Sus scrofa: one gene and its partner. The protein of the gene in region 2 binds, or shares a complex with, the protein of the main gene of each other region. Links are inferred from orthologs where the notes say so. Each region holds a gene or a part of one and is shown on either strand. Other genes may lie near its edges.

The links.
Region 1: the proteins of C6H1orf109 (region 2) and CINP are in contact, whole or in part, in a cryo-EM structure (PDB 8RHN), measured with the Homo sapiens proteins. The link is inferred for Sus scrofa from reciprocal best matches to the Homo sapiens genes AIRIM and CINP. Residues at the interface, in NP_001289959.1 of Homo sapiens: Leu107, Gln110, Ala113, Ala114, Asn116, Leu117, Phe119, Val122, Ala124, Leu125, Phe128, Pro129, Asp130, Leu131, Arg134, Leu135, Lys138, Gln139, Ala142; in NP_116019.1 of Homo sapiens: Leu161, Leu162, Thr165, Glu169, Asp177, Leu178, Leu180, Ser181, Tyr182, Ser184, Met185, His188, Pro190, Tyr191, Val192, Glu193, Ser194.

What each region holds. Positions count from the first base shown.
Region 1 is NW_018084979.1:1,150,284-1,154,546, forward strand, and holds the start of CINP (cyclin-dependent kinase 2-interacting protein), read right to left. Parts: upstream 2,915-4,263; 5' UTR 2,834-2,914; coding exon 2,827-2,833; intron 1-2,826. UniProt on the Homo sapiens protein: Component of the DNA replication complex, which interacts with two kinases, CDK2 and CDC7, thereby providing a functional and physical link between CDK2 and CDC7 during firing of the origins of replication.
Region 2 is NC_010448.4:93,747,626-93,752,077, forward strand, and holds the start of C6H1orf109 (uncharacterized protein C1orf109 homolog), read right to left. Parts: upstream 2,972-4,452; 5' UTR 2,672-2,971; intron 2,497-2,671; 5' UTR 2,494-2,496; coding exon 2,219-2,493; intron 1-2,218. Other genes in the region: CDCA8 (borealin), read left to right, coding at 3,397-3,493, 3,632-3,760. UniProt on the Homo sapiens protein: Part of the 55LCC heterohexameric ATPase complex which is chromatin-associated and promotes replisome proteostasis to maintain replication fork progression and genome stability.

The DNA of each region.
Region 1 (4,263 bases), on a different chromosome or scaffold from region 2:
GGAAAGGAGGCAGAGCAGTGACTTTTGCTAAAACTCTCTGATACCCCTGCCCTGCTTGCTTGCATTCTCCAGTCTCAGGCATTTTGATACCTTAGGCTTGCTCGGAGCTCTGTGGCTATCAGCGCTCGACATTCCAACATACTGACCGGGCCGGACCTGAGATGCAGTGATGATCTCCGTGCTTAGAACTCAGGACCTGGAGTTCCCGTCGTGGCGCAGTGGTTCACGAATCCGACTAGGAACCATGAGGTTGCGGGTTCGGTCCCTGCCCTTGCTCAGTGGGTTAACGATAGGGCGTTGCTGTGAGCTGTGGTGTAGATTGCAGACGCGGCTCGGATCCTGAGTTGCTGTGGCTCTGGCGTAGGCTGGTGGCTACAGCTCCAATTCGACCCCTAGCCTCGGAACCTCCATACGCCACGGGAGCGGCCCAAAGAAATAGCAAAAAGACAAAAAAAAAAAAAAAACAAAAACTCAGGACCTGGCTCCCTCTCGGCTTCAGCGCCCATCTTAACCCCCACCCTGAACCCCCGCAATCTCTAGCTAAGAGCAACTACTGGCAACTCTTTTTTTTTTTTTTTTTTGCTTTTTAGGGCTGCACCTGTAGCACATGGAGGTTTCCAGGCTAGGGGGTCCAACTGGAGCTACAGCTGCTAGCCTACATTACAGCCACAGCAACATCAGAACCAAGCCGAGTCTGCAACCTATACCACAGCTTATGGCAAGGCCAGATCCTTAACCCAATGATCGAGGCCAGGGATTGAACCTGCAACCTACACCACAGCTTATGGCAAGGCCAGATCCTTAACCCAATGATCGAGGCCAGGGATTGAACCCGCAACCTCATGGTTCCTAGTTGGATTTGTTTCCACTGCGCCACGATGGGAACTCCTACTGGCAACTCTGAAGTTGAATCACCCACCCACTGGCTCTTGCACATGTAGTTCTCTCTGCTAGAAAGCTTCTTCCTTCCTCTGGCTAAGGCTGCCCAAACCCCAGGACTCACCCAGGTCCCAGCTCCTGCGGGAAGCAACCCCCAGACCACAATAAGCCAACTCAGGCTGTTTGGGCACCTCCCACACCCGGGCCCTCCTTTGCCTCGAATCCTCTCCACTTGGAATCCTTCAAAAGTATTTCATGGCCCACAGGATAAGGTCCAGATTCTGAGAGAGGCCACTTACGGAATCCAGGACACACAATGGCGATACAGTTTATATAGTTTGGAGTCTAGACTCTGAAGACCATACAGACTGGGTTTAAATACTTGCTCTGTCACAGCCAGCTGTGCAATTTTGGGTAAGTTAGTTAACCCCTCAGAGCCTCAAAGTACCCATCTGTAAAGTGGGGGTAAAACAGATCTACTACATAGAGCTGTTGCAATGATTAAATAATATATTTAAGCTGTGAGGGTCTGACGTGCAGCAAGTACCCAACACAGCATGTGTTATCACAAGGGCCTCTCCAGTGTGGTTTTTCCACCACCACCAAGCAATAAACTCAATTCTGACACCAGCTACCTGGAGATGGCATCCCACAAGCTAATTGCTCAGTCCTACCAGACTCTTACCCTCTCTCTCCATGTCAGCGGCCAGATCTAGGTCTGTGCTTCTGACCTACTAGAAATCTCTGATAGATCGGAGGTTCCAAAGATAGCCCCTCCACAAGGTTTGATTAATTTGCTAGAGTGGCTCACAGAGAACTCAGGAAAATATTTTACCTATTAGATTACTAGGGCCAGACAGAGAAGTGCTTAGGGCAAGATATGCAGGAAGGGGTACAGCGCTCTCTAATCACATGATTGGTTCCCCTGACAACCAGCCCCCATCCTTATCTAGGTTCCCCTTTTAAACATCATATTGATATTAAGAGGGTTGGAATTTTCAGTCCCCCCACCCCCGACCCCCATTTCCAATAAGGGAAGAGAGACTGGAGGTTGGATCAGTCGTAAGTGGTAAATAATTTAATCGACCCTCTTTATGGAATGAAGCCTCCATCAAAACCCAAGAGCAAAGAGTTCTGGGAGCTGCCAGCTTGGTGAACAGGTGGGGATTCAGGGAGATCAGCACTTGGAGACAGCCTGGAAGCTCTATATCCAGTATCTACAGTTACTCATTCACTCCTTATTTATACAACTAACCCAGCTTTTGCTGAGTGCCTACATCATGCCAGGCATGGGGAATGAAGCGACTGAACTTGGTAGACCAGGGCCATTTTCACAGAACTTACTTTCCAGAGAGGAGATGGATAACAACTAGATGGTCAGCATCAGTTTAGACCATAAACCCCACAGAATAAAACAGGGTCCTGTGTTAGGGTGAACCCCCGAGAGACTGTCATTTAGGCTGCAATCTGAATGATGAGAAGTCAACAGCTTGGGCGTAATGTGAGAATGAGCTTAGTGTGTGTAAAAAAAGAAAAGGACCAGGGCGGTTAGAATGAGAGGGAGAGAGGGGAAATAGTAGGTGAGCAGGCAGCCAGGCAGCTAGACCCTTACAGGCCAAGAAAAGAAGTCTGGGTTTATTCCAAGTCATGGAAAGCCAGCAGCAAGCCTTGAGCAGGGAAATGACGTGATCTAATGTCGGTTTTTAGAAAGTCACTTCCACCAGAAGTCTTTCTGGATTCCCAGGTTGGGTTAGGACTCCTTGCACGAAATACCTGGAATACCCTGTACTTAACTTGGCATCACAACACTCATCAGTGCAGCGTATCTTTTTGTTTAATGTCTAGCATCTTCCTCACTAGACTGTGAATTCCGTCGGAGTACCGACTAAGCTCCAACCAAAACACTCACGCCCTGCCCGCCTGGGGAAACTGGCCCTTCTCACGCACCTTCCATGCCATCCGCAGGGATCCCAGGAAAGAGACCTCCGAGCCCCGCCCACGTCCGCCGGAAGTTCCCGACGCCACTTCCACCCCGTCTGCCACCTCCTGCTCCTCTGCCGCTCTAGCCAGCGGCGGAGCCGCCTGCCGCTCGACGGTGCGGGCCCCGTTGCCCTGGAAACGGGCTCCCGGCAGTCCCCGCGGCCCGGAGTCCATCCCCGCCTCCTCCGGCCCGGCTGGGCCGACGAGTCCGGAGGGGCCGCCGCGGGAGGTGAGTCCCGCGACGCCGCCTGACCCCGCCGCCCAGCCCCGCGCCCCCCCCTCGGCCTCCCGGTCGCCCCTGTAGCACCTCAGGGTCGCACTGCCCCCTTTCCCGGTCCCCGTCTCGCCCGCGCCCGGTGGCCGAATGCCCTGGCACACGAAGCGCCGGGCTGGCTGCCTGGCAGAAGCGGAGGTCTGCCCAGGGGAGCGGTGGTCGCCCATCCCTCCGGGGCGCCCCGGCCCGCCGACACCTCCCGCCAGCCCTCCGCCCCGCGCGCCCCGGCTGCACTCGCTCCTCCCTCTCCGCCGTCCCTTCCCTCTGCCGCACCCTGGTCTCCCTTCTGCCCCGAGGCCCCGAGCTCCGCGGTCTTGGGACTGACGTGGCGCCTGTCCCCCGACCCTCAGCCCGCGTCCCTTCATCCGCACCCCTCCCGCGTCCGGCCAGGCCTTGGCACATACCCATAGCACAGAGGTGCTCAGGAGCTGTTGGTCAAGTGGGTGAACGGACGACTCCTCTCTCAGTCCTGCTTTAAGGCCTCAGGCAGAATAGTTAGTGCAGGTTAAAGAGTGGGGTACCCTGGAGTCAGACCCGGGTCACAGCGCTGCCCCGTCCTAGCTGTGCGCTCGGGGTAAGTGATGTCTCCCTAAACTTCTCTTGCATCATCAGCGAAATGGGGCTGGTAATAGTTTCTCGCTCTGGCTTGGTGGGAGGATGAAATGGGTCGGTGCTTGGGAGTTGCTCGGCACGGCGCCTGGCACGCGCGGTACATTTCAGTGAACGCCGCCCACGTACTGTACTTGCATTTCTCCTCCCTGCTCCCCGTTCTTCCTCACTTTTTCGTCGCGACTCAGGAATTTCATTCTGTTCTCTTGCTTCTGTTAACATTTGTTTGGCAGAGAGAGTGTGGGCTGCTAACCTGGGCACACACCTGTCTGCTGGCGTGATGAGTTGCACTGGGAATTGACTTCCACCTTGTAGCCAAGGTCTTGGAAACTTTAAGGAAAGGAGCTCTGGAAATTCCCAAGCCCACATCCCAGCATGGGCCGAATCTGGGAATAAAATCACTGCAGCCCTTGTGGTCACTCGTGACTCCTGGTCTCCTAAGCTGCAGCATTTTTTTGTACTTTTTCTCATCCATCTACAGTGTACTTTGATGGCCTCTGAAACTGGCTTTTTTTTTTTTT
Region 2 (4,452 bases):
CACACAAAGCTATGTGATGAGCCCAGGTCCCAAAGAAAGCAAAGACTAAGTCGCCTTTCTGGGAATGCCATAAAGCCGTATGAGGAGGGCAAATGCTCACACACAGTCCCATGCCATGTACTTGAAAGGGAATAACCAAGAAGAAACTGAAGCAACAAACCAGTACAGTTCTAATGTCACCTCTCACCCCAAACCCAGCAAATGGGCCAAGTCTGGGCTCTTGATGCACACAGACAACTGGGGATCTTAGAAAAGCTACTTATTCTCAATCATGAATACAGTCTCTTTTGTTCACTATTCATCATAAGCGCCTAGAATATCCGGACTGGCACAGAGAACGACAAACACTTGTCCTATGAATGAATGAAAAAGACTGCTGCGAAGATTAAATGCAGTAATGTAAGTGCTTAGGGAAGTGCCTGGCTTATAGTAAATTTTGTTATTATTCCACTGGTGACTCCAAGGGGCCCAGCCACCAAGAAGAAAGCTACAACTTCCCAAAGGGCAAGGCATTCCCTAGCCTAGAACTGCAGCTTTCAAAAATGTTTGACTGTGACTCACGACTTAAAAACACTTAAAATAGGGGTTTCCTGGTGGTTCAGTGATGTCTCTGCTGTGGCTCTGGTTACTGCTATGGCTTGAGTTTGATCCCTGGCCCAGGAACTTTTTCATGCCGTGGGTGCGGTCAAAAAAAAAAAAAAAAAAAAAAAGATTTAAAATAACAGTCCATACCCACATACAAATATGTAATCAATTGAAATAAAAGGTCACTATATTAGAATGTACCATGACAAAACTTAATTGACTGTCTATCTCTTTTAATCAACCAAAGAACTTAAGTCTGGTTTATTGTAGACCCAGCACCCTGTGCTTGGCATCCCATAGGTTTCTTTCTTTTTTTTTTTTTTTTTCTATTTCTTGGGCCACTTCCGCGGCATATGGAGATTCCCAGGCTAGGGGTCTAATCGGAGCCGTAGCCACCAGCCTACGCCAGAGCCACAGCAACGCCGGATCCGAGCCGTCTGCAACCTATACCACAGCTCACGGCAACGCCGGATCATTAACCCACTGAGCAAGGGCAGGGACTGAACCCGCAACCCCATGGTTCCTAGTCGGATTCATTAACCACTGCGCCACGACGGGAACTCCCCATAGGTTTCTTTTCTTTACTTTTTTTTTTTTTTTTTCTCTCTCTTTACAGCCGCACCTGTGGCATGTGGAAGTTCCTGGGCCGGAGGTCAAATCAAAGCTGCAGCTGAGGCCTATGCCAAAGCCATGGCAACACCAGCTGCATCTGTGACCGACACTGCATCTTACAGCAATGCTGGATCCTTAACCCCCCGAGTGAGGCCAGGGATTGAACTCACATCCTCACAGAGACAACACTGGGTCCTTAATCCACTGAGTCACAACAGGAACTCTCCTATAGGCTGTTAATAAAATTTTTTTTAAACAAATGAATACCAAGAAGGCACTCATCTTTGACAGTCTCCTATTAGTTAACAGCACAGACTCTATACACTAGAACCTTCTTTTGTCCTGGTCAAGGAAAGGCCATAAGTTCCCTGTCTCTCCTCTATCCTCAATTACCTATAACTCGAAGCCAGAGAGTCTAACACTAGGCATAACGAGAGCTTAGAGGGGTACCACTCCTGGCACAGACACACCAATGTACAGCAGAACAAAGTAGTGGTTAAGAGCTCCGGCCTTGGTGTCAGATACACTTGGATGAGAATCCCAGCTTTACCATTTACTAATTGCAGGACCACAGGCAATCTGCTTGGGCCTCAGCTGCCTCACCGGAAAAATGAGATTAAGTGAGGTTAAGTCATAGAGGTGCAGAAAAGATTTTACGGATAATGGACGTAAAACCCTCAGCTCTGGCACCCACTAAGTTTATAGTACAGCTCTTTGCTGCTTTTTACCAAAGAAAAACTTACAGAGGAGGGCTAATAAGCTTTCTCCACTGTTTTTCTGTTCTGCTTTGGTAACTTTTACGAAGTCCACCATTGCCACCCCTAGCCTGACAAAAGAAATGTCAGAAAGTGGCTTTTTGACAGAGGTCCCATTGCAACAGATGAAAAGCACGTAAGGTTGACACATCCCCAAATACAAAGCTCTCAAGTAAGGAGAAAAACATCCTTCTAACTGATCCTAGTTTTCTAAACACCTAGCTTTAAAATCTTTCCACCAAGAACAGAGCCACTAAACCTCTTACAGCCTCTCCTCTAGCTTGTCCAGGACAATGTCACCAGCCGCCAGCTGCTTGCGTCTCAGCCGCTCCTGTAAGTCTGGGAAGGCCCGAAGTGCCGGCACATCTTCAAATCGCAGATTTTGTGCGGCCTGCAGCTGCTCTGCCAGGTTACTGAGGGAGGCCAGGAGCGGCGGGCAGTCCTTAAGAACGCTCTGCCACAGGCCTTGCTGCTCCTCCACCACGAGAAAGCACTTCCTTAGGGCCTCCTGCACGGCAAGCAAAGGCCCAACTTGAGTCATCTTCTGTGGGAGGAAAAAAAAAAAAAAGACACAGCCCTAGAGTCCCAAGTCGGTAGGGGAAGTACCAAGTCGGTAGGAGTTATTTCCGTTCTCAAGTGAGGTCCAGCTAACCCAGGGTTTCCTCAGGTAGCTGTCTATCCCTCCCGACGGGAGTTTCTAGAGTGAGGGGTTGTCTTACCTTTACACAGGCTCTCGGAAGGCAGGACCCTTATTTCCCACCTCGGGAAAGATTTCTTGACTATTCCTCGCAGGAGGCTCATCCGGCTTCGGGTAGTTTTCTGTTTCAGACTGTGGGTTTCCCGGGCCGTCTCGAGTTTCCTGAACCCGAACCTTGTCTCCTCTCCATGAAGTTACGGCTCGCCTTCCCTAAACCAGCGGCAAAAGTTAAAGCTAAGGCAGTTAAAGTCTGAGGACCTCTCTAGGCCCTCAAGAGCCTTAGGGACTCTCTTTGCGCATGCCCCAACGTGGCTACAGAGTCGCGAAAATATGCCGTCAAACTGCAATGACTTCTGGGTGCTGTAGTCCTGCGTGTGAATTGACTGGCCGATCGCAGAGCGTCCCTGCGATTGGCTGTTGTGGGACCCTCTAAGACGGCGGCTTCTCATTGGTCAGCTTGTGGCAGTTTGAATTTGGTGGCGGCGGTCGCACGTCCGGTTAGTCCCGGAGCCGCTCCCTCTCAGCTGAAGCAGCCAGGGTTTTCTCAGCCCCTATTACCGGGGCCCACAGGTGAGTGCCTCGCGAATCGTTTATGCTCATGCCGGGAAGGGCAGGGGTCCCCTTCCAACCCCCCTGGGGTGTCCTCCGCCCTCTCCTGCTCCTTCGCGGCCCCCTTTCCCTCCCTTTCTCCGCCGCTGACACCCTTTGGCTTGGCCCCTCTCTCCCCGCAGTCTCCAGCGAAGTGCCATGGCTCCGGCTAGGAAAGGCGGCAGTCGGGTGGCCAAGAACAACTCGCTACGGAGCCGAAAGCTCGCTTCCTTTCTTAAAGACTTCGACCGTGAAGGTAAGGGGCGGAGCCCGGGAGGTCGCTGGCATCTGGGACAATCGCGGGGTGCTGGCGGGTTGGGGCGCAGGCCGCACGGATTCCAGGCCCCGTTTGCCCACTGGTGACCCACGTCTTGTCCGCTCTGCCCTCTTGCAGTGCAAATACGATCCAAGCAAATTCAGTCAGACAGGCAGAACCTCCTCAAGGAGATGGATAACCTGTACAACATCGAGATCCTGCGACTCCCCAAGGCACTGCGCGAGATGAACTGGCTCGAGTACTTCGGTAAGAGCTGCTAGAGTTTCCCCAGGCCTCGACCTGGAGCCCTTCTGTGGTTCCAATGACAGCCTTCATCTTCATCCTGAAGTCGTCCAAGATCCCTGTAGGAAACTGCAACCTTACCCATCCCCACTCTGTCTCACTGCCTTGCTTTATTTTTCTCCTTTGCTTTTAACCTCATCTACTTGTGCAGGTAGGCAAACAAACATTTTCTCTACAGAATCGGGTAGTAAATATTTTAGGCTTTATGGGCCAAATGGTTCTCATTGAAAACTACTCATCTCTGCTGTGATAGTTCCGAAACAGCTGTAATGAATGGGCACAGCTGTATTCCAATAAACATGTATTTATGGACATACTAAAATGTGGATTCACATTATAAGATTTTTTTTTTTTGATCCAACCATTTAAAAACAAACAAATGAATAACTTGGTCTGTTACCAGAGCTCAGGTGGAAGGATAACCCCAAGCAGGTCCTTCTGCTTATGGAAATTGCCAGTTTTAAAATGGGCAGATCAGGGAGTTCCCACTGTGGCTCAGTGGTAACGAATCTGACTAGTATCCATGAGGATGCAGTTTGGATCCCTGGCCCCACTCAGTGGGTTAAGGATTGGTGTTGCCATGAGCTGTGGTGTAGGTTGAAGACAGGACTCAGATCCTGCATGGCTATGGCTGTGGCGTAGGCCAGCAGCTGCAG